4 linked regions of the Drosophila melanogaster genome follow. The protein of the gene in region 4 purifies or fractionates together with the protein of the main gene of each other region. This does not show direct contact. Each region holds a gene or a part of one and is shown on either strand. Other genes may lie near its edges. The genes, in order: Patr-1, Not1, PAN3 and roq.

Region 1 (7,335 bases), on a different chromosome or scaffold from region 4:
CGGAAGTAAACCGTCGTCTAGTTCCTTTTATAGCCTGTGGAGACTTAAATGGGTTGAGTGATCCCGAAGAGGGCAAGACTTCCTCCTCAGATGAATCCAAATCAGTAAGTGATGTGCCTAATACTTTGCTTTGTTTTTTTATTCAACCATCTTTCCCACAGAATTTAGAGTATGTTTACGATGCTGTTATGGACGACGCATCTTATCCCCTGGAATTTAAAGAGATTCTAAAGCAAGTCTATGATGAACAACGCCATATTATCTAAATATTTATAAAATAAAACCAAAAAAATTAAATTAAATTTGTATATTAAGTGGGCTTGGGCCAAGCTAAAAGAAATGTGATAAAATTAATCAAAATATTGAATAACTTAGATTATTTAAAGATTAGGTTATTAAGACTACCAAGATATTACTTAATTTTGTGCATATCCCGTTATTTGAGCGACAGCTTTTTTTGCTCGATTTCCAATAGTTTCTTTTTCAGTTCTATTTTCTCAGCCATTAACTGTTCAATTGCCAAGTGATGTCGCTTGTCCTCGTACAGCTTCTGCTTGTACAGGACAAAAAATTCATTGAGTGCAAGTTGAACGCTGTTGGCGGTATCGTGCACCATTTCTAGGTTATTGCTAATCTTGTCAAGCAGTGTGGTCTCCTCCTCCGCCAGTCGACTGCTGGCCAATGCGGCCCGTTTGTTAGATTGCAGGTAAAGCGGGTCAATGTCCGTTTTGTTCTCCTCCGGTTCGTAAACGTACTCGGCGGAAGTCTGAAGGGCGCCACCATCTTCTTCCGGGACCACATCCTCTACTTCGTCCACATCAAATTCCGTGGTGGAATTCTCATGCATTTCATCGTCGGAGACCTTCATAATAATCTGACTTACATCCTCGTTTAATCTACACAGTGTGGCTATTGTTTCCTCCGACGAAGTAAGACTGGTGCCAAAAGGCATGTTCTGCATCTCATTCTTTTCCACCTTTCTCAGGATAAACCTCTTCCAGTCCTTTAAGGCCTACAAACAAATCAACTTATAATGCAAGCGGTTAGAAAAAAAGTAAGTTAGAATACCCTTCTCCAGGTGGCTATATCTTTTCGCGGCGGACCGTGGCTATTAAGTTCGGATGACAGTTCCTCCCACAGCGACTCCAGATTGCCCCGTGTTTCCCACGTCGGATTCTGAAGCAGACGCGGATGTTTCTTCACGAATTCTAACAATATCAGCTCTTGCGTTGAGTTGCGCGGCTTGGCTTTGTTCCGGTCGATGGCGATGGTGGTCTGCGGCTGGAATTTGTACTTGGAGTTCCGGTTGAGTCCCGATGTGGGGTGCATCCTGTTCATGTGCTTGCTTAGATTCGTGGTGGTCGTCTTGTAAGAGAGCTTCGCCTTGCAGATATTACACACCGCAAACGTGTCGTCCACCGCCCGGAAAAAGCACCAGATCTCGCTCGTTTTCCGCTTCATTTCGACTAAGTTGTTTTGGAAAAGGAAACAGGCTCGTAGTTCCGTCCAAAGCAATAGTTCAAGAACTAGTAATTTAGGGATGAGCTTGCGGGCGCTGATTTCAAGTTTCGAACTAGTTCAAAATATCGAATACATTGAAGGAGTGCAAATGCACCTTAATTAGGGCAGATTTTTCATTGATCAGTAAAATCTAATGTTGTTGACTTATTAACCAGTCGTGGTAAGTCCCAAACTGAATAAATAAATATGCAACATACGAAATTTGGCAGTGGTTAAATCATCATTTTTTTCTAACATCACTGTAGCAAAATGCAAACTTATAAATTTAGACAAATCTTCAGTCGTTCACCTATTGAAAAAAAACGTATGAAAAAAATATATATTTTAAATTTGCATGTTAATTCCAACATTTGTAATATGATAATATTTATATGCGAGCGAAATTGATGTATTGTGGCGATAGTCAGAAAACCATCGACGTCAGACTATCGATAGTACCATCGATATTTTGACAGCTATACTGCTGAGGTGACAACTTGTCACTGACAAGTCATGATAATTTTTTGTAAAGCAATAGATTTATCGCCATGGATGACTCGTTTTTCGGCTTTGACACGAATCTACCGGTAAGCAGCGGTCCCGACATTGCGGCTGCAATATCCGGGATAGCGGGCCGCACAGGGGTCGGCAAATGCCCAACGCACACTTTTCACTCGGCAAATAAGGGGGCATCGAAGGCCACCGGGGGCAGAAAAAGTAGGAATGTCTAATTTACTTGCTTCAATTGTTTCTCCAGGACGAAGATGGTGGCGATGGACGCATCGTCGAGGCGGAATACGATGCCCTCAATGACGAAACCTTTGGATCCGCTATAAATGGCGACTGGGAGGAAGCCCATGAGACGATGGTACGCCTGGGCGGGAATGGCGAAAGGGTGCGGAAGCGACCCGCGGAATCTAGTGGAAATACGGATTTTGCCGATCAGGGAAATGGTGCCTTCCTGCGACACGCTAATCCGCTATCATCGGCGCCCTCTTCAAGCGGCTCCACTCCGGCCCCTTTGAATGCCCCCTTCCGACAGTCTCGTCACATAGGGGACTCGGACTTGGAGCTAAACATTTCCTCCATGAAGTTGGACGACATGGACCTGTCCTCTTTCACCACTGATAGCGAAGCCGGTGGGCTGAGCAACCGCATTAAGCTGGACTCCGGGGTCTGGGGATCACAGCCGTTTCCCAACAACCAACATTTGTTCCGCGAGCCTATGCGCAGCGCCTTCAAGCCACAGCAGCAGCAACATCAGCAGCACCAACCACAACAAATGAAGCCACCGCAGGAAGCGAATGCCAACTTTGCACTGAATCCACAGCCTTTTCCAAAAATTACAACTCTCGAGGATATAGAGCGCAATATGATCATTCAGCAGGCCATTCCGAAACAACAGCAGCAGAGCCAGCAACAGGCGGAACGCAAAATGTTTGATGATTTTAGTCTGGGTAACAGGCAGCAGGTGCCTACACCAACCATGTTGCAGCAACAGATGTTGCAGCAGCAGCATCATCAGAAACAACAGTCGCAGCAGCAGCCGCCACAACAAGCGCAGCACAAGGGTAATTATATATTAAAACTAAAAAGTATTGATGCATACAAAAACAGGCCTCAGTATTTAAAAAGAAAACATGTCCAACAAAAAGTATAATTCCTAAAAATATTTATTTCTTACGAATCTATTTTTGGGGACAATTTTTAAGACAGATTTAACCATTTAAGGAACAAACTTCAAGTCCCTGATAGATTTCTGCGACATATGAAAATAACACCATTTAACAATTCATTGCAGTACCCCCTGGCTTCTTGGGCACGCCGCACACCTCTCCACCGAGGCCAAATTTGGGTTTCCCCGGACCCGAGCTACTGCCCACGCCATCGTCGCAGCAACAACTAAACGGTATTGGTGGCAACCGAGTGCCGCCCGGATTTATTTACCCGCAAGGTCTGCCCGGGAATATTCCGCAATTGCCCCAGCATCCTCTAATGCAGCAGCACATGCCGCACAACTTTCCACTGCCCGGCGGCAACCAGCGACCTCTACCCAATCCACAAGCTCTGCCCACGGCCCTGAACAATTTCGCGATGCATCCAAGCTTCAATGCGATGCGCGCCGCTGGAATCCATCCAGGGGCTTTTATGCAACCTCCCCATCCGCACCAGATGCTGCCACCGCGAATGCCGCCGCACCCGCTGCAAGCTGCCACAAGTCTATTAGGTCAGCAGCCACCGAATTCCATGTATAACATGTTCAACATGCGACTAGTGCAAGAGATCCAGCAAAACCATCCGCTGCTTCAACAGGCTGCTGTTGTACGCCAAATGCAACAGAGCAGAGCAGGATCCGTGGCCAGCGATCGTCAGAGATCGCAGGCGCAACAGCAGCAACAAGGACGACGTCCAGATGGTACAGGAAATTACCCGCTGGAAGAGTACGATGAATATGCCAACCTAATGAGCACGCGCGACAAGCACTGGCTAATCGGAATCCAGCTTTCGCAGCTGAATACGGACACGCCGTATATCGACGACTATTACTACACGGTGTTCAGGGAGCGCAAGGCCCAACAGAACGGGCAAATGCGCAACAGTCAGGCGCACAAGGACAACCAGTTGAATCATCCGCTTACTCAGCCACGCGGCCATGCGCAGCTTATTCTCGTACAGTTGGGCAACAAGAATGGTACTCGCAATGGACACGGACGTGAGCGACGCAACTCGGAGAACACCAACAGCACGTCAGGCAACACGAACAATGGATCAGGTGGTAACAACAACAACCTGACAGGCTATATATTCTCACCACTGAAGTTCGAGAACTCACTGGGAAAGCTACAGTACGGAAGTGTGACAGCTCCGCGAAAAATTATCGATGCTGACATTATGAGTGGTGAATCAAATGCCGCTGCTGAAGCCAACGCAACTTCTTCATCAAAAAGCTCGACTCCGCTGCCCACCTCCGCGAGCCATGATGTAAATCCCAGTAGCATGCGGAAGTCGCGACACATTTTGCTTCTGATTGAAACACTGTATCGCTATCTGCTGAAGTTGGAGGATTTGGAAAGCCCAGAAGTGATGGCCACCATTGAGCTGAAAAAGAAAAAGGAAGCCGAACGGATCGCAGCCCTTGAGCAGCTGGAAATGGCCAATAAAACGCCCGAAGAACGTGCTGCTGAAGCCGCCAATCCGCAAACCATGAATCCGCAACTAAAGAACAAGTTCAACTATGAGGTAGAGACGAAAGCTGCGTTGGTCAATAAATTAAAGGCAGGTCTGGCCTTCGACAAGGTTATCGCCATGATGAATGTGCGCAAGGGAAAGGTGTGTACTTTTTCTTATACTAATTTTAACAAGTGCAACCAAATAGAATTCGATTTATGTTCTAGTGCTATACGCATGAAACTCACTATTTTATTTAAATCAATCTTTCCTTTGCAGATACTTATTAGACGCATAATGCCCTTTATTGCGGATCAAAGCATTCGCTGGGTCGTGTGGAGCGGCGTCTTCTGTTCCCTACAAACAGTGGTGAAAAAGGACAAGGACGACGTTGAAGGCGTCTTGTACGCTCTTTACCCAGAGTTTAAAAAACACGTTAACAAAGCTACTTTCGAACTCCTAGTGAGCATTTCATCTGCTATTACGCTGAATGACAAGAAACTTGCTGGAATTTTTTGCAGTCGCGTAAGTTATCCTCAGTATTAAGTAATAGATACGCGTACTAATTATTAAATTGGCAGTTTGGAATCCTTTCGCTGGTTGCCCTGATACTTCGCGCCGAGGAAATCTACGTCTCGCGAACTGACGCAACTCTTAGCGAGGAGAACAGGCAAAAGTGGCGAGAATTTCTGGCACAGGTTGCATCCTGCCTCAATCGCACTATTCAAAACCAGACCATCTCGGCAGCCATTGAGTCGGATGCAATTCAGCCACTTATGGACCACTTTGAACGGTTTAAAGATCTTAAACTGGATGCACTCTTAGCATTAATAACTGAAGCCAGGCATCAAATTGATTAGGTTGCTTTGACGGATTTTCATTTAACTTGATTGAAGCGTTTCAAATAATTGTGAAATTATATAGCCGAGTTCACTTTGCTTTACTCAATTACGCATATGTTTGTATAGAATATGTATCCAAAACTTACATATGTACGATCGTTTTTACATTTACGCATACTACACAAAAATATTGATACAGGGTATAAAAATCTCATACTGAAATTGAGAAAGTACTCGACTGTCAATAAATTTTGATAATAGTTTGTTAGAAACGTTCTTTTATCCAAAATTGTGTGCACTGTACAAGAAAGGTAGAGAGAGGAAATCATGTTTTATAAATATAATATCGAATGGTAGGTTTTGCTCATTGTACATACTTATATCATTTTATATTCGATAAGGAGTACTTTTCCGGCATTTTCTGTAGAGATTTATAAAGAATAATTCACCCCACAAATTATTCTTTTTTTTTTTTTGTCATCGAATTAACAACTGGGCTCTCCTATATCTTGTAATCACGATTGTAAAAGGAATATCATAAATACGTTTTAAAATTTAAAAGCACCGATTTAATGCGCGATCCATGCATACTCATTTAAATGTGCATCCTTAAGTATCTGCTTATTTTCTGGTATTTGTAAATATCGGTTTAATGAAATTTTACTATACTACCTTTTGGGTTTCATTGAATCAAATTTGTGCAAGACCCATTAAATATAGTCGAGACATTCAGCATAAATGTGTACTAAATAATTAGCATTGTGACAGGTGCAGCCGTATTTATTATAACAAAATGATCAAAATTGTGATACATTTTGACTTTTAAACATAAACGAAGTTCCGATGATCGGAAAGAATTAGTTTAACACACAAATACAAATTTGAAATTAGAAAACAGCAATTTTCACAAAACTTCTGTAACGCAACGGATAGATATTTGTTGTAAAAATCCGTTGTGGAGCATTTTAATTTTATTTCGTTTTTAATTGTATCTACACCATCATTCAATGTTGTTTAATTCATTTTTTTTATTGAAATTCATGTTTTGTATCTGAAAAAAATTCTACTCGACTGCAAACGTCTTGCAAATACTTTAAAACTATGCTTTTTTTTAGCAAACAAGAGTCAAAATACGATAGCTGTCTAAGATTGCAAACACATATACAATAATTGTAGTTTAATTTGTATTTATCACATACAAACACTTCAAACCTTTTCCTATAAATATGTTCGCTGATTCAAAAGTAAATTTTTTTAAATTGATATAATTTCCGAGAGTATAATAAATAAAAAATACCATTTCACAGAACACACCGAAACTAAAACACCTTATTTTTTTGGGGGGGTTTTGAAAAAGATGATATTTAGTTTAGTAAGCAGTCTGATAAAAACACATTAGTTGTCCATTTCAATGATATTTTATTTATGGATTTTTTTAGCTTTCCTTCAAATTTATTGATTTGCTTCCAATTGGTGTTTACGCTTGTGCTATTAAACGGTTTTTCTTCTATAATAATATATTAATCATTTGATTTCTATAAACAATTGTGCCGGGGGGGGGGGGGGGTGCATCATTAATGGCGAACGTGTTTTGTGTCTGTCTGTTTTTGTTTTTGGCGCAGAATCAAGCGTCGAAGTGTCGGCAGTTGCCTGTCCGTAAGGGACATTTTGTTGTGCGGAGGCGCCAAAGTGCGTAACAAGTGGCGGCGGCGCGCTCGGGAATTGTTGCAAATTTCTGAGTCGGCGACGCCAACCACTGGCGACGGTCACCAAGACGACAACTTGTCGGCAGCAGTCCGCCCAGCGCGAAGGGATGCGAAGCCCA
Region 2 (4,839 bases), on a different chromosome or scaffold from region 4:
GAGGTTCAGCGGATAGGGATTGGCTCCCGGAGTCATCAGACGCGATGGAGAAGCTGAAATTGCACGTAGAATTTCGTTAGATAGGATTAAGAGGCATCTGTGATAGATTATGCACTCATTGCCTATGAATGCCACTTACTTAGCATGTTTCCAAAATTAAATGCTCCGTTCGGGCCGCTGAGGTTGAGGCCGGCTAAGTTGTTGGACATATTCGTTAGCGGATCCATTCCTGGTCCAAACATCTGCGCGTTGAGGTTTCCGGAGAACGGTTGCTGCGGTGGCGGAGGGACTATGCCTCCAGGCAGATCCATACCACGATGGCCGCGCAGAATTGTTGGTGGAGGCGGCGGAACCAATCCTGGCTGCTGCTGCTGTTGGGCACGCGCCTTGTTAGCCATAATCGCCACGTTCGCGGTCATTTGCATGATGACTTCGACCATCTCCGGCTGCATGCAGTTATTGATGCACGTTTGCAGACAGTTGATCATGGTGGTAACTGTCTCGGGCAAAAGCTGCGCCTGCTTGGGAGGCAGCTGATCCTCTGGCACTTTTGCGTTGATAACCTGCGGGCAGCGGCGGTGCAGAACCTTGATTATAGCCTGCATAAAAGGCTCTCCATGTTCGCGAATTTTATCGGTAAGCCACTTTTCCAGCTTCAGGTACTCGCGCCGAGAGGCAAGGCAAGCCAGGTCGATAATGAATAAAAATGAACGGGCGTTGAGCAGCGCTGATAGCGCTTTTAAATCCTGGGCAAGATCCAGGATGCGCGACAGTTTCACCTGATCGAACTCATTGCCTCGGAGATACCACTCGGACATAGCATTCATGATATTGGAACGAAGTTGGAAGTTGTTCGAGCTCCAGGCGCTGGCCAAGATCACGTTCGAGTTGGGATGGTTGCCAAGGAACGTTGGTATCAGTTGGTTAAACAGATCCTGACGCAGTGGCGTCATAGGCGGACTTGTGTTCAATAAGGCCAAAAATAGCACATCGGGACAGTTCTGCGCTGGGAACTTGAATAGCTCATGGACCTGCGTATAGTATCCCTTGTCCGCAATGGAGAGCAGCACCTCCACCAGGTGAAGCGACTTCCAGGACGAGATCTCCTTATTGTCCGCATCCGGAGCCGTCTTAAGCACATCCAACGCTGGCTGGCTAAATACAAAGTCGGCGAAGGAAAAGAGATCCGGGTTCTTCAGCATTGTCGCGATAAGCGACAGCTGACCTTCCGTGTTTGCCCAGTGACGGTAAATGCATTCTGGATGTGGAAATATGTTAGAGCCAGTGGCCAGCCGAAGGATGGTGAGCAAAAGCTCCAAACCGATGCGATCCTTCAGCACGAACTCGGGATGATCAAGTTCTAAAAATTAAGAATGATATTCCTATAGATTGGCGATTGCGAAGCAATTATCTAGCTATTACCCATGCACACGTCCTTCCAGTTGAGCTGAGGCACCACCTCCTTGAGCGCCTGCACAAAGACATCTGGCTTCCAAGTTTGCGTGGCCTCCGTCGTCTCCTTCTTGTCCTTCTTATCACTGGACGAATTGCCATCGCTGCCATCGTTGTTGTTACTGCTGCCCGGGTTCTGTTGCTGCGGAGTGATTTGTGTCTGCGAAGAGCCACTGCTGTTGCTGCCACCGCCCTGTCCCTGACCAGGCCAGAAGTTCGCCGGCGTCGGTAGATTCACATTACAATCGAGCAGGGAGGAGTGCCGTCGGCACATAAGACCCACGATCTTGGCGACATCTTTGGACTGGAGCTCAGCGCGTTCTCGCTCGCGGGAACACAAATGATTCTTACACTCTTCAACGCTCGATGTAAATTCATAACCGATTTCAAGGATTAGATTAATCCAAGATGTGTCCATAATATTATTTTTGCCCTGCAACACAACATTCAATTAGCGAATTGTCTTTTTCAATGAGTGTCTTACGCACCTGGTTGGTGAATATTATCTCGCTTAAATGGTCATAAATATCCTCGATTCCCACCTCGTTCAAAGCATCTGCTTCGAAACTGGAGCTGTTGCTATTAGTCGTCGCTTCGGCCTCCGCATCCGTTTCGCTGGCACCTGCTCCCGCAATCGTCGCCGTCGTCGAGCCGTAAAGGAACGGCGCTAGAACCAGCGGTACCGCCTGGCGCGGAAACTCCTCACGAAGCTTGATCAAAAACTGTGCTTCCACCTGCGGTTGTACGTACTCGCTAAGGCAGCACAACAAATACTGCAGTAGATCGAAGGAGATCTCCCGGAGACCGCTGTCGGCTGGGCCGGTGCCTTTATTACCCAAGTAAGAGTCTATAAGTTCGCTGAGGCTACCTTTTAGGTTGTTCCTGGCAGAATGTTTGAGTTCTGTGTACGAGGAGTGGGTCAAGGCCAAGGCAAAGACGCACTCACAAACCTTGTTGATGCCGGTCAGTCGGGCGACCTGGCCAACGAGATCCGCTACCGCAACAGGCTTCAGGGACTGCTTAGGAATGAGTATCCATAAGTAATCAACACATTGTGGGCATTGTAAACTCAACTTACCTTCTGGTTGCTGGCGAAGAACTGGTCAAAAGCGTAGCAGATGTTGGACACAAACGATGAACTGTGAAGCTGACGCTCCAACTGGATGCCCAGGAGCTTCGCCTGCAGCTGGACCGTAACTGATGGCACGAGATCGCTGAAGTTGATCACGGAGAACAGGTGGCGCAGGCTGCTGCGATCCGCTTCCAGGCCGTGCTCTTTAACGAACTGCAAGATGTCGTAAATGCTATCAGTAATGTATGGTTTAGAATCAAAGAGCTGCATTGCGTAGGGTTTGGAAGCCAATATAAGTGCCTTGACAGCGACTGCCCGCAATCTGGGACACATATCACTGTATAAGGGACAGTGTATGTTTCAAACGATTCCTCAGATTCTGCGGTGACCGGGATTTTTTTTTATGTGATTTTCATCGCAAACTTGGAAATTTTGACAGGTTCTATTATGTTCTGTGAGTGTCTCAACTTTTCTCTGTACAATTGGATATGTGTTTACGGATACAGGGCAAGATGTAAAGTAACATTTTGGAGGGATTATTTCTAACTCCAGGCAACTGTTTTCAAAAGTAAATCCATTAAGTCATTATTTCTTGCCCGCTTAAAAACTTTACCCAATTGGCTTTTTAAAAGCGCAACCAGAGGGTTAAAACATGAATTTTATCATTGGGAATTCCAGTTTAGGTGCACCATTGTTGGGCTCACAGGTTTCTGAGATTATCTTGAATGCTATAACTAAATGGAAGACTATATCTCAAATTGGGCTATCGTTAAGTTAGTTAATGTATTTTCTATCCGATAATTTCTCCATGGAATCCAACAAATTCCTAGACCTTTCTTACTATAAATTCCGTTGGGTTATCCTAGTACTTCATTCCAACATTGAATATCAGTGAAAATTTGGTAATCCTACTGAGTTCGAATAACTTGAAAACTTATCAGGCTTTTTAAATGGCAGATATAGATTGTTGAGAATTTCAAAATACTGAAGTATATGACTCTGTTTTGTTATCATTTTTTTTTATCATTTTTTTTAATTTTTGAGGAATATGCCATTTACTGTCAAGAAAACGGGATCTGTAGCATAGTTTGTCCCACAAACGATTACTTTTTAGGGGATTGTTGGGCAAATGGTGCCATTCTAAGCCAAGTATTTGTTATGATACTAATTTGAATGGCAAAACTTTTCTAGGAGGCTAGATATCCCCCTCCCTCCCTACGGATCCAAAACTGTTGAAATATTTGATCCGGAGCTCGGAGTCCGGAATCAAGGCCTCACTCCGAACGGGGGAGCGAGACAACAGCTTTGGCCCCGCCGTCGCAGCTGCTCCACAACAAATTACACACGCGCCCTCTCGCTCGCACACGTTGGCGAAACGTTACATGGGTAAGGAGAGAAGAGAGCATGACGGTGCGCGAAAGGAAGGGGGTCACAGGAAAAAGTGCGACATATTGCAACTCTAGCGAAAAGAAAGCGGCCGCAATTGATATTCCCACGCAATTTGTCCCACGAACTTACTATTCAATTTGGTTTCTCTCGTTTGGCAATGAAAAAACAGAAGTTTCGGGGCCGAAAAGCCCTGCGCTTGGCTTGGGCTTCCCAATTCGAATTTCGCAATTCGATTTCGCACTACTACGCTGCAAAATTCACACTGCCATCAACTCACGAAACACGTTTGTGGCTAAGCGCACACAATTGGCCTGGTTTTACACATTCTATAAAACTTTTAGCTTAAACAAAACGCTCACAAAACGCGCAACGCCGTGCAGAGAAATTTTTTCAGCTGCCTTTACCAAAAAACTGTAATGGCGTCGGCAAAAATGCACGAGCGAGTGAAATGGCAATAGCCCATTCGTGAGTGCGAACAATTGGCAACTCTGGTTGGCCAGGTGCGATATGTTGTCGGTTTGGCAACACTAAACCCCCGCCCCCTACAAAATGTTGTTGTTATTGTTGACAAAATGAATTGGAAATGGTTCATGGAAACTTTGGTAGAATAACTTGGGCACCTACCTGATTTATTTGCTCGCTGCTCTCATTAAAATTTCGCTTGTTCACGTGCTTGACCAGATTTCGAATGTGCGTTGGCGGTGTCTTCAGTTGGCTCTCTACGTTCATAATTCTACGTATCAGTTGTCAATTCCTCAGCGGATGTTTCTTGTTGCTGTTGTTTTTGTTGGAGGCCACCAGAATTTTTTGTTCAGCACACACGTTTAGCGTGCACTGGTATTGGAGATTAGAGATATTTGACGTATTCGCTGTTGCTTCTTGGCGCTTTTCATTTCACCTACGGCGCAATTTGTTTTTGTCTCTGC
Region 3 (4,631 bases), about 13 Mb from region 4:
AGGAGCAGTAAATGGGAATCTGAGCGTTTCCAGGAATAACAAAACGATAATCGATGGTATTGCAGCGAGGAATGTACGTAATTAAAGGGAAGTGTATAGATTGTTTTGGGGCAGATTGATTATGCCAAGATTCTCTGTTCTAGGCCGCTACTCCATCCCGTCCCTATCCCTCTCTCTCTCACTCTCGCATTCTCTGCCTACTTATCTCCTTCGCCTCCTTTGTTCCTCGGTCACGTCCATGTAATTGCCAATAATCACAATATGCGCTTCGGTAGGAAAATTCAATTTACATGCCGCCAGTGGAGAGAAAAAACAAGAGAGGCGCAGAATTGAATTACAGGATGACCCCGGTGAGAACGCTTATGAAATATGCCAAAGGTGACTTTCAATTAAATGCCACCCAGCCAGAGGCGTGCGAAGGATTTAAAAAGGGGCAGATAAAATAACGTACTAACCGATCAATATAAGAAAGCTGATCTATGATTAATCACTGAGTTAAGCTCATAAACATACCAATTTTATTATTACAATCATAGAATAACTATGTATATGAACAACTTGTTTGATGGGGGGGTCATTTCACCCCGCCAACCCCTCTCCAATACGCTCCTGCCACCAGCTGTGGTTCTGCTCTTACGTTCCCTGTCTTTGCTTGTGTTTGATTTCCTTTGCTTTTCTGGCTTTGTTTTTGCTTACCTGCCGGGAAGAAATTGTTCAAGAACGTTGACATTTTTCTCTTTCGCTCCCGCCTTCGCCAATTCCTCGTGCGCTCTCTTTCTTTTCGTGGTCCTTCTCGTTTCGTTACGCTTTGTTTTTGCGTTTGTTTTCGTTTTAATGTGCACTGAGTTAAAAACTTTTTCTTGGTTTTTTCGTTTTGTTTTCGATTTTTTTGTAGTTCTTTTTAATAATTTTGTAGAAAATATTGAAACAAAAATTTAAATAATACATACAATCCGCGCTTAACTGCTAAGTTTCAAATAACACATTTTCACATTGTACGTTTCGAAAATATTTTTTTCTTTCACTTTTTCACGTAAGTTTCTTGCAGTTGAAATGCATTTTCGGGCAAATGATTAACAATTGAGGCGCGTCGACTGTAAAAAGCGAGAAAGAGAAGAACATTGAATTAAAATAAGTAACGGTAAGCGAAAAACAGTTGTTTGTTTTTGCAAAACGGGGCGACAAAATGAAATCCCGAAACGCAACAGTGAGTGGGAGTGAGAGGGCGGTATAGCTTGGATTTCATTAAATTTTCCAAAGTGAGTCTGTGTGGGTGTACGAGGACGCTTTTTCCTACACATATACAGACACAATTGCGCGCATATTTGCTTACGTTTTCCACACTTTTTTTCATTTCGCACTTGGTTACTCATATTTTTAGAGTTTTATATTTAACACCATCCAAAATACATACACACTGAACCTAAGCCAACATATTGTGTAGTTAATTGCCTGTTTCATTGTTAGCTTTTGAATTGCTTTCAGTACCGTAATTACTTTAATGAGGATATTTCCTTGAAAGGAGCTGCTGTTGCTATATTGTATACATTTTCATTACCATTTTCCAACGATTTTGCAAATAAGAAAAACGCAACACACACACCGCGCGATTGGCGCTGCACGAATGAAGAAAACGCAAAGAAGATCCAACAGCCAAGCCAAATGGAGTCCACAAACGACCCCCGAGTGTTGTATACATGTACGTCCGTCTGTGTGTGTGTGTGCACAGGAGGTCGGATAAAAACAACAACTGCCAGCTGTGTGTGCAACAAAGTGGATGTGGATTCCATTCGAGGAGTGTTGGGAAAACATCCGCGCTCAAGGGGTTACATGGACTTTAGCTATTGTTAATAATTTTAATTAACATATATATCATTTTATGCAAAGAAATTTAACAGATTGTATAAAGTCCCTCATGTTTTTCAGCTGATAAATGCTGGATATGAAATACGTATTCTTTCAAAGAGAAATCCTTTGACACGCTACTGAAGTTCCATTATTGAATATAATGTAATAAAATAACTTTTAAAAATGGCGAAACCCCTTTATGGTATTGTAACACTTCACCTTCAAGTGGCCAGGACGTTTTGCAGAAACCCTAGCAATTGGCGTTGTTATACACACATGCATATATACACAAAATAAATACATATACATATGTAAGTTTTTGGCTGGGGGGAGTTCAACAGGACCCAACAGCTGGCCACAGGTTGCGTTCCACATAGAGAAATGTGGGAGCCTGGGCTCCAAACGCGATCCACACTCCAGCCATATTTGTGGAACGCGACAAACAGCTGGCTAGGAAAAGGGGAAGAGGACGCAAAGGGGAAGGGAACGAAAAGAAGGGGAAGAGAAAAAGCAGGAGCAAAGGAAATAAGAACACATATGTATACGATTTGTTTTTTGAGTGGGAACAGCTGGAAATAATTAACTAAGTTCACTAAGCAAGCCAAAAGCCAATTTATAAGTGTAGTTTTGTTACAACGTTTTTGGAAATATTTTTATTTTAATTTTCAAAAATTTTCATAATAATTGCACGTGAATTAAAAGTCAATTCATTAAGTTTTTATTTTCATTAAAGTTTTTAATTCACCACCGAAAATGAAATTGAAGCCATCTTGGTCACCAAATTTTTAAGACGCAATTTGTCCAAATGGTTCTTATAACGCAAGCCAGATAGCAAATACGTATAGTTTTTTGTTCAACACGCCAACGATTTGTTTTTGTTATTTTTCAAATTGATGCCGCTGTTGCACACACACACACAAACACAAAAAATGCCAAACACACAGCGCACAGCGAAGTGATACAAAAATGTCTGCTGAGAAAACTGCGATTTTTCGCTCTTTAATCCACGTTTTCCGTACCTCCACTGACCAGTCATAGTTCACTTTGCGAGAGGTGACTTCATAAAGAACCTGCCGTTTGTGTTTTGTCAAACTTTTGTACATTTTAAAGACAAAATCACAATATTTAATTTCTTACATGTTTTCCGTTTGCCGCAAGCAGTGTGACCGCATCTCGCGAGTGACGAGTTCCGTACTGCCGGATATAAGGGCAGCACATTAAACACGAATGGATTCGTTTTCAATAATATACTTGTAAAATTATATATATGAAGGCAGATTTTGCTATATTATTTTAATGCTATTTTATTTTGAAATGGTTAATTTAATAATATTTGTTATTTTATTACTTTGTAAAGGGGATGGTGTCCCTGCTAACGATCAACCAGGGCTGGAGAAACACAGACAATAGAAAAACATCGATAGGCTTTGCCAATAACATCGATACGTTATACTAGTATTTTGCCTAATATAAGATTTGGTCACACCGCACAACACTCTCTAGAAAGACAACAAATTTTTTGGCGAGCGGACGTGTCGGCGGACAAAAAGCTTGCAAACAGAACAGAACGGAAGAACACAGAAGAGAACGACACGACACGGACAGCGGGGAAAGGTGGCAATTGAAAGAAAGTGCCATACTTAGTGTGCGAGCGAAAGAGAGAGAGAGCAAACTGGGTATTGCTTGTGTGTGTGTAGTAGTTTAGTGGTCGTGTGTGTGGGAGTTTGTGTACGAAGCGAGTGGCAAAGAAAAACACAACAAACATTATTCCAAGAAAATTTCCAATCATGTCGGTGGAATCCTCCAGTTCGGCGGTCCAACAGCCGCCGTCGTCCTCGAACCTACCGCTCCTGGGCGACAACCAGGCGGTGGCCACGACCAGCTCCGCCTCCTCGGCCTCTTCCTCTTCCACATCGTCGTCCTCCTCGTCGGTGGGCGGCGGCAATGTGGTGGGCGTGCCGCTGGACACGCAGGGCAGCGGAGAACCGCCGGCCAAGAAACAGTTGTTGGACGGAGGGGGCGGTGGTGCCACCAGCAGCAGCGGCAGCAGCTTGCTTTCCAGTGCCGCAGCCGCCTCGGGAATGCACGAAAAGCTGGCCCACCGCATCTCCAATGCCCTGTGCTGTGCCGTCTGCCTGGATTTGCCCAAGACGGCCATGTACCAGGTGAGTTTTTGGATTATTTACAGCGGCTTGAACTATAAGCCCTTGTAAACTAGAATCAAAAAAAGGAAGTAAGAGCTTTAAAAGCGAAAGAAGAAAAACAGCAAGTGCGCGTGTGTGTGTGCGCCTCATTCTGTATACAAACAAATCGTGGCAGCTCAGCTGTAAGAGTAAAACACCTCTCTCCCTCTCTCCACCCTAGCAAGACACAGCTGTGCGAGAGCGAGACGTCTAGCTGGGGCGCTCTTGCATTATTCGCCTTGAAAACATTGAAAGAGTGCGAGGGGGAGCGAGGGCGGGAGTTAAGTCCGTGATCGAGGGTGGAGCCTTTTGTGAAGATATGATGTGTAAATGTATGAAGGTTTTTAAGTTTCAGCAGATAGTTGTAGTGTGAAGATTTCCAATAAAGAATACGACTGACTTTCTTGAAGTTCAAAATCAGTATGAAGTTTATTGTCAGAGAGTGGCTACTCGAGTCCTCCGTTTTCGTCTTATACATAAGTACATAGGTTCTTAATTGTAAGCATAATGAACATGCCGACTCGGCATGTGGCTGGCTAGCTGGGGACAATGTTGCAGTGCGACTTTTGTGTAATGTCAGCATTCGGCCGGAATGTCAGC
Region 4 (4,804 bases):
TAGCGGCTCGGCACTATGAGCCTGGTAATGGGACTGTGATGCGACGGCGGGAGACCACCACCTGGCGAAAGTCCCAAGCTGGGATCCAGATATCCCCTAGGAGAGCCCATATAATGCATAGGCGACATAGGTAACATGGGTGGCATGTTACCTAGAGGCGGTCCCTCCTGCTCGCCTAGTGGTTTCTTTATGGCTCCTACGCCTACCGCTGGAGGTCCCTGCAGCGCCAACGGTGTCTTCATATGTTTTCCTCGATTCCGTGCACGATAGCGTTCTACCTCCTCCTGGGAATGGGCAAAGGTACAGCTAGAACCTCGGGGACACACCCGCCGCACATTCAAGTCCCTGCATAAGCTGATCTTGTACTTCGGATTGCTATTGGTCGTCCCACCACTGCCACCGCCACTGATGCCGTCCTGCGCCTTGCGCACTCCGTGGTGCTGAAGGAAGTTCACCAGTCCAACGACCGAATGCCGCACTGCATCCAAGGCCTCAGCCAAAACCGACCACGGGGCAACCTCCGCACAGGGATCAATATTGGCCAGGTACTTCAGATGATGATGCAAACTGGATAGCTTCGCAGGATCGCTGGTCCGCTGCAAGGCGATGACCAATTCCTGGACTGATTGCGCAAAGGAGCTTGGCGTCTGCAGCTTATCGATGATGCTCTGCATGTGGCTTTTATGCATCACGTCGCCATACAATAGGGAAGACCATTGTTCCGGTGCAATTCGCAGACCCGCCTCGGTGGCTATCTGAACGATTTGGGCATCGTGCTCCCGGCGTAGGGCGTCATACGTACGGAATTCCTCTTTGAGCTGCATCAACGACGAGTCCGCCTCCCGCTTGGACACCTTGAAGCAGCTGGCGCGGTAGAGCAGCTGTACCACATGTCCGATACTCGTCTTGGAGGCCTGGGGAAACTTCGGCTCTAGTCGCTGCACGACGAACATGACCAGCACTTTGCGCGAAAGCGCTGATCCCTCCTCCAAGGCCAGCAGCACCAGTTTGAGCACCTCCTCCTGCATGGCGGGTCCAAGGAACTGGCATCCTCTTGTCCGCACTGCAGCCCACAGATTTGAGCTCAACTGCTGGGGATTTTGGTGCTGCAGGATCAGCTCGGTGACTGTGCGTTCGCCTAGGGATCTGGCTGCTCGAAGCGCTCTCACCCGTCCCTCCTCCTCCATCAGCTGGCAGTTGACCAGAGTAACCAGTTTCCGTAACATGGGTCGAGTTAGAAGATTGCCATTTCCGTTCAGGTTGAGGAAGGACTTCAAGTGCAAAGCCAGCTCCTCGATGCACCGCTGACCCAGTTGGTAACACTTAAGGTGCTCCGGCTCCAGCTTCTGCACACTGGGCGGTGGTGGTGCCAGCTCGAGGAGCTCCGAGTCCTTGACCAACTGGAGCAAGGCATGGTTGATGGGCAAATTGTCGATGTCACTGACAATCACGGTCTGAGAAAAGAGATTAGGGCAGATCGTTTAGGGTTGGCGCAATACTTAAATGGAGTTCAACTCACCTGATCGAAGGGACACTGCCGGTTGTAGAGGGTCGTCAGGCATAGCTTGCAGATGGTGTGCCCGCAGCCCAGACTGACCGGACATCGCTGGCTGGCCGCGAATTCATTGCAGCAGATGGGACAGTTCAGAAAATCTGTCCATGAGGGAGCCTGAATCGGCATGCTGTGCGTAAATTACATAAAAATACCAATTAAAATAAAATAAGCCAAAAGGTAAGGAAAATCTTATTTTAATGGAATCTTGGTGATATTGAAATCGGAACAAATTACCCGAATCAGGCTTGTTAAACATATTCTATTCATATATATTGTAGGAATGGCGGAAGTAATACTGCCTTTAAAATTTCATAGCATGAATGAGTAATGTTTCTTATCTTGGGTAAAGAAATCATGCTACAAATGTTCACACATATGCTCTATGGGTAATTCAATTTATGTATATCCTTATCAGATTTAACTTTATGGAAAACATTAGTTTTTTCTGAGAATGAAGTATAATATTTGAAACAGACTTGTGGCAGCCTACATCTATAAGTCTTAATGGAATCTATCACAATAAGATCTGTATAGAGCCCACCTATAAATACTTAAATTATCGATCTATAAAAGGGTAAATCGTGTAAAGATCTAATATCCCATAAAATATGCTCGTTATTATCGAATTGATGTAACGATGAAAGTGACGTGACTCAAGATAGTCTTATTTTCCTTTTACAACGATCAAAAGTGGCACAGTAAAAAGTTTCGCTTTCGTCTTTTTCTTCTTCTTGCCTTACCCCCAACGTCAGCTGTCGCCACACGCACACACTCGCGTGCTCCCCCCACACAGACACACACGCACACTCGTCTGCTGCTGTTTGTGTGCGAGGGCATTTGTACACGCATGCAAGTATATCTGTATGTATATATAGCAACTATATATTTTTATACCCCAGTTGCACTTCCTGGAGAACTTTTTCGGATCTTCAAGTGCTCAAAGGATCGCTAATATTCCTTTTGAGACCCCAGAGAGAGAGAGCCACTCACACACACACGCATAACTGCCTTTATGGGGGACACAAACGTAACTCGCTTTCAACGTCATCAAGCATCCGCTTTCTTTCGAGACGCGAACAAAGGGAATTTCGGGCAGTATCCTATAGGTTGTGCCAACCCAAGGAATGGCACCTTCGAAAAGTAGGGCCACAGGCCAGTGAAAGGTCCTTGAAACCAAGTAATCCCCCAGGAAAAACAATGAACTACACGAAAATCTCTCTCAACGTTTTTTTCGTTACGTTTCACTTTTCACTCTGCTTCGTGGATTTCGCACAAACTTGGTTTAATGCAATTTTTGGCACTGGTGCTGCACTGACTCACCTTCAAAATGCACATATTATTGCATTAAAGGTACGAAAATATGTTTTTTAATTTTCATTGGATTATTGTAAGAAATTTGGGAAGTTGCAATCAGTATGACCGCAGGTGACGAGCGGCGGAATACTGAATCCAGCTGGCTGAAAACGTTGAATGTCTTGCTGCACTGCTTACACGAAGGGTCGCACTAGGCGCTCTCAGCTGATTGCGATAAGCAGTTATCGTTTTGGACATCACTATCTATATTTGAAATTCGATAACCTAATTTTATAGCATTTATTGTATAAATGGCTAAAATATACAACACATGTTCTAATTAGAAAAACAAAAGTACAAGAAGTTTAAACTTTGTAACTACGACGTTTATATAAGTGGTAGAAGACTGAGAAATCTTTTCGATTTAATGTACAAACACATTAAATATTTGCCTCAAAGAAACTTTTAGTTCTTGTAAGTGAATTTGTGAGAAATTTTTTCGATTGGATGTACAAACACATATTAAATATTTGCCTCTAAGAATCATTTAGTTCCTGTAAGTGAATTTCGCATAAAATGTTATTTTATTCAGTTAACTACAATGGTTTATCGTACATATTCAATGTACATAATATTTCTATGGTCAGTGCAGTTGAGTTATTAGTCCATAGGTCGTATATTCCAAAACTGTTGCAGAGTTTATAAAACTCAGGTATGAAAATCTATTTCTTGGCAGCAGCTGCTCCATACGCAGAGGCTTTGCTGATCTTCGAAGCATTCACAGCGTATTCCATGAGGCTATAGACTGGAAGTACAAGTTGTAAAGTTAAGCACATATCCTCGAAACTAGAATTTCTCAACTTACATCCTCCCAAAATGGAAAGAACCGTGATGAAGCCAAACCAGTTGCCGGCAACCAGCGAGGTGACCAAGTAGTGCAGAATGCACAGGACGGCAAAGGTGGCCCAGCCCAAGAAGTTGAGGAGCGTGCTCAGGCGCGGCTTGTAGATTTTCTCGGGCACCTCCTTGACTCCGGAATTCTTAAAGAAGCTGCCGGTCTCGTGGAAGCTGTCGATGATCTTGTCCTTTTCCGCAAAGAAGTCCTGCATCCAGGCGGCGGCCTCCTTCTCGTCATCGGGAACCACGTCCAGTGGCACTCGGCGAATGTACATGTACGGTTCCACGGGCTCTCCGTTCAACTGGGACAGCATGGTGGGCTTTGGCTGTAAGTTAATTCAAGTTCGAAAATGTAATTTAAAATATATATACATATATATGAGATCTTAAGTTCTCACCTCGGCATTCTTCTTGAAGGCCAGATTGATGTCGTAGATGGCAGGACAGATGCCACGCATGGTGGGCAGACTGGTCGTGAATCCCTTAGTGCGCGGAATCAGATGGTGCTTGAGGAGGGGAAGACCTCGCTCCTCGGCGAACTTGACTGACAGCTCGTGTTTGGCGGGTGTGAAACGGGTGCCCTCCGCGTTCAGCAGTAGCCACACGGGATCCGGATAGGAGAAGACCTCCTTCAGCTGCGTCTTGATCACCACCTTGTCCTTCTCGAAGTTGCGGTCAAGGAAGATGAACTCGGCCATCCACCAGACCCATCCCAGGACCGGAACATAGCGCAGCATCTTCTTGGCATACGCCTTGGTGCCTCCCAGATTGCCCAGCTTGTCGGTGATCATCCAGGCGGTCAGCCAGTCGATCTCGTACGTGTGGTTCATCAGGAGCAGTCCATGCTCCTTGCCGAAGAACTTCTGCTCGTCCTGGGGATCGATGTACACCCTCAGCTTGCTGCCCGCATACCATTCCGCCACACAGACAAGGACTAAAGTGTGAGGATAGTTTTTAAATTATCAAAAAGTACCACTTTTACGTTATTTCATTTAATCATCAAATGTAAAAACTAAGTGATTTATACAAAAGAAGACCTTGCATATACCTAATCTAATC

Evidence for each region.
Region 1: the proteins of roq (region 4) and Patr-1 purify together in Drosophila melanogaster (affinity purification with western blotting, with the first as the bait; one study listed by BioGRID). This does not show direct contact.
Region 2: the proteins of roq (region 4) and Not1 purify together in Drosophila melanogaster (affinity purification with western blotting, with the first as the bait; one study listed by BioGRID). This does not show direct contact.
Region 3: the proteins of roq (region 4) and PAN3 purify together in Drosophila melanogaster (affinity purification with western blotting, with the first as the bait; one study listed by BioGRID). This does not show direct contact.

What each region holds. Positions count from the first base shown.
Region 1 is NT_033777.3:17,041,602-17,048,936, forward strand, and holds Patr-1 (protein associated with topo II related - 1), read left to right. Parts: upstream 1-1,962; 5' UTR 1,963-2,048; coding exon 2,049-2,087; intron 2,088-2,257; coding exon 2,258-3,071; intron 3,072-3,301; coding exon 3,302-4,830; intron 4,831-4,947; coding exon 4,948-5,193; intron 5,194-5,249; coding exon 5,250-5,528; 3' UTR 5,529-6,820; downstream 6,821-7,335. Other genes in the region: Trm7-32 (tRNA methyltransferase 7-32), read left to right, coding at 1-104, 162-266; bdwf (bedwarfed), read right to left, coding at 437-1,012, 1,069-1,461.
Region 2 is NT_033778.4:9,573,648-9,578,486, forward strand, and holds the start of Not1 (Not1), read right to left. Parts: upstream 3,049-4,839; 5' UTR 2,858-3,048; coding exon 2,531-2,857; intron 2,472-2,530; coding exon 1,941-2,471; intron 1,886-1,940; coding exon 1,423-1,885; intron 1,361-1,422; coding exon 140-1,360; intron 54-139; coding exon 1-53.
Region 3 is NT_037436.4:3,069,544-3,074,174, reverse strand, and holds the start of PAN3 (Poly(A) specific ribonuclease subunit PAN3), read right to left. Parts: upstream 3,043-4,631; 5' UTR 2,868-3,042; intron 1,629-2,867; exon of another isoform or gene 1,415-1,628; intron 1,095-1,414; 5' UTR 731-1,094; coding exon of another isoform or gene 697-730; intron 1-696. Other genes in the region: CG32486 (uncharacterized protein), read left to right, coding at 3,636-4,013. UniProt on the Drosophila melanogaster protein: Regulatory subunit of the poly(A)-nuclease (PAN) deadenylation complex, one of two cytoplasmic mRNA deadenylases involved in general and miRNA-mediated mRNA turnover.
Region 4 is NT_037436.4:16,375,557-16,380,360, forward strand, and holds the start of roq (roquin), read right to left. Parts: upstream 3,011-4,804; 5' UTR 2,876-3,010; intron 1,683-2,875; 5' UTR 1,682-1,682; coding exon 1,520-1,681; intron 1,455-1,519; coding exon 1-1,454. Other genes in the region: Agpat4 (1-Acylglycerol-3-phosphate O-acyltransferase 4), read right to left, coding at 3,571-3,653, 3,714-4,071, 4,144-4,679.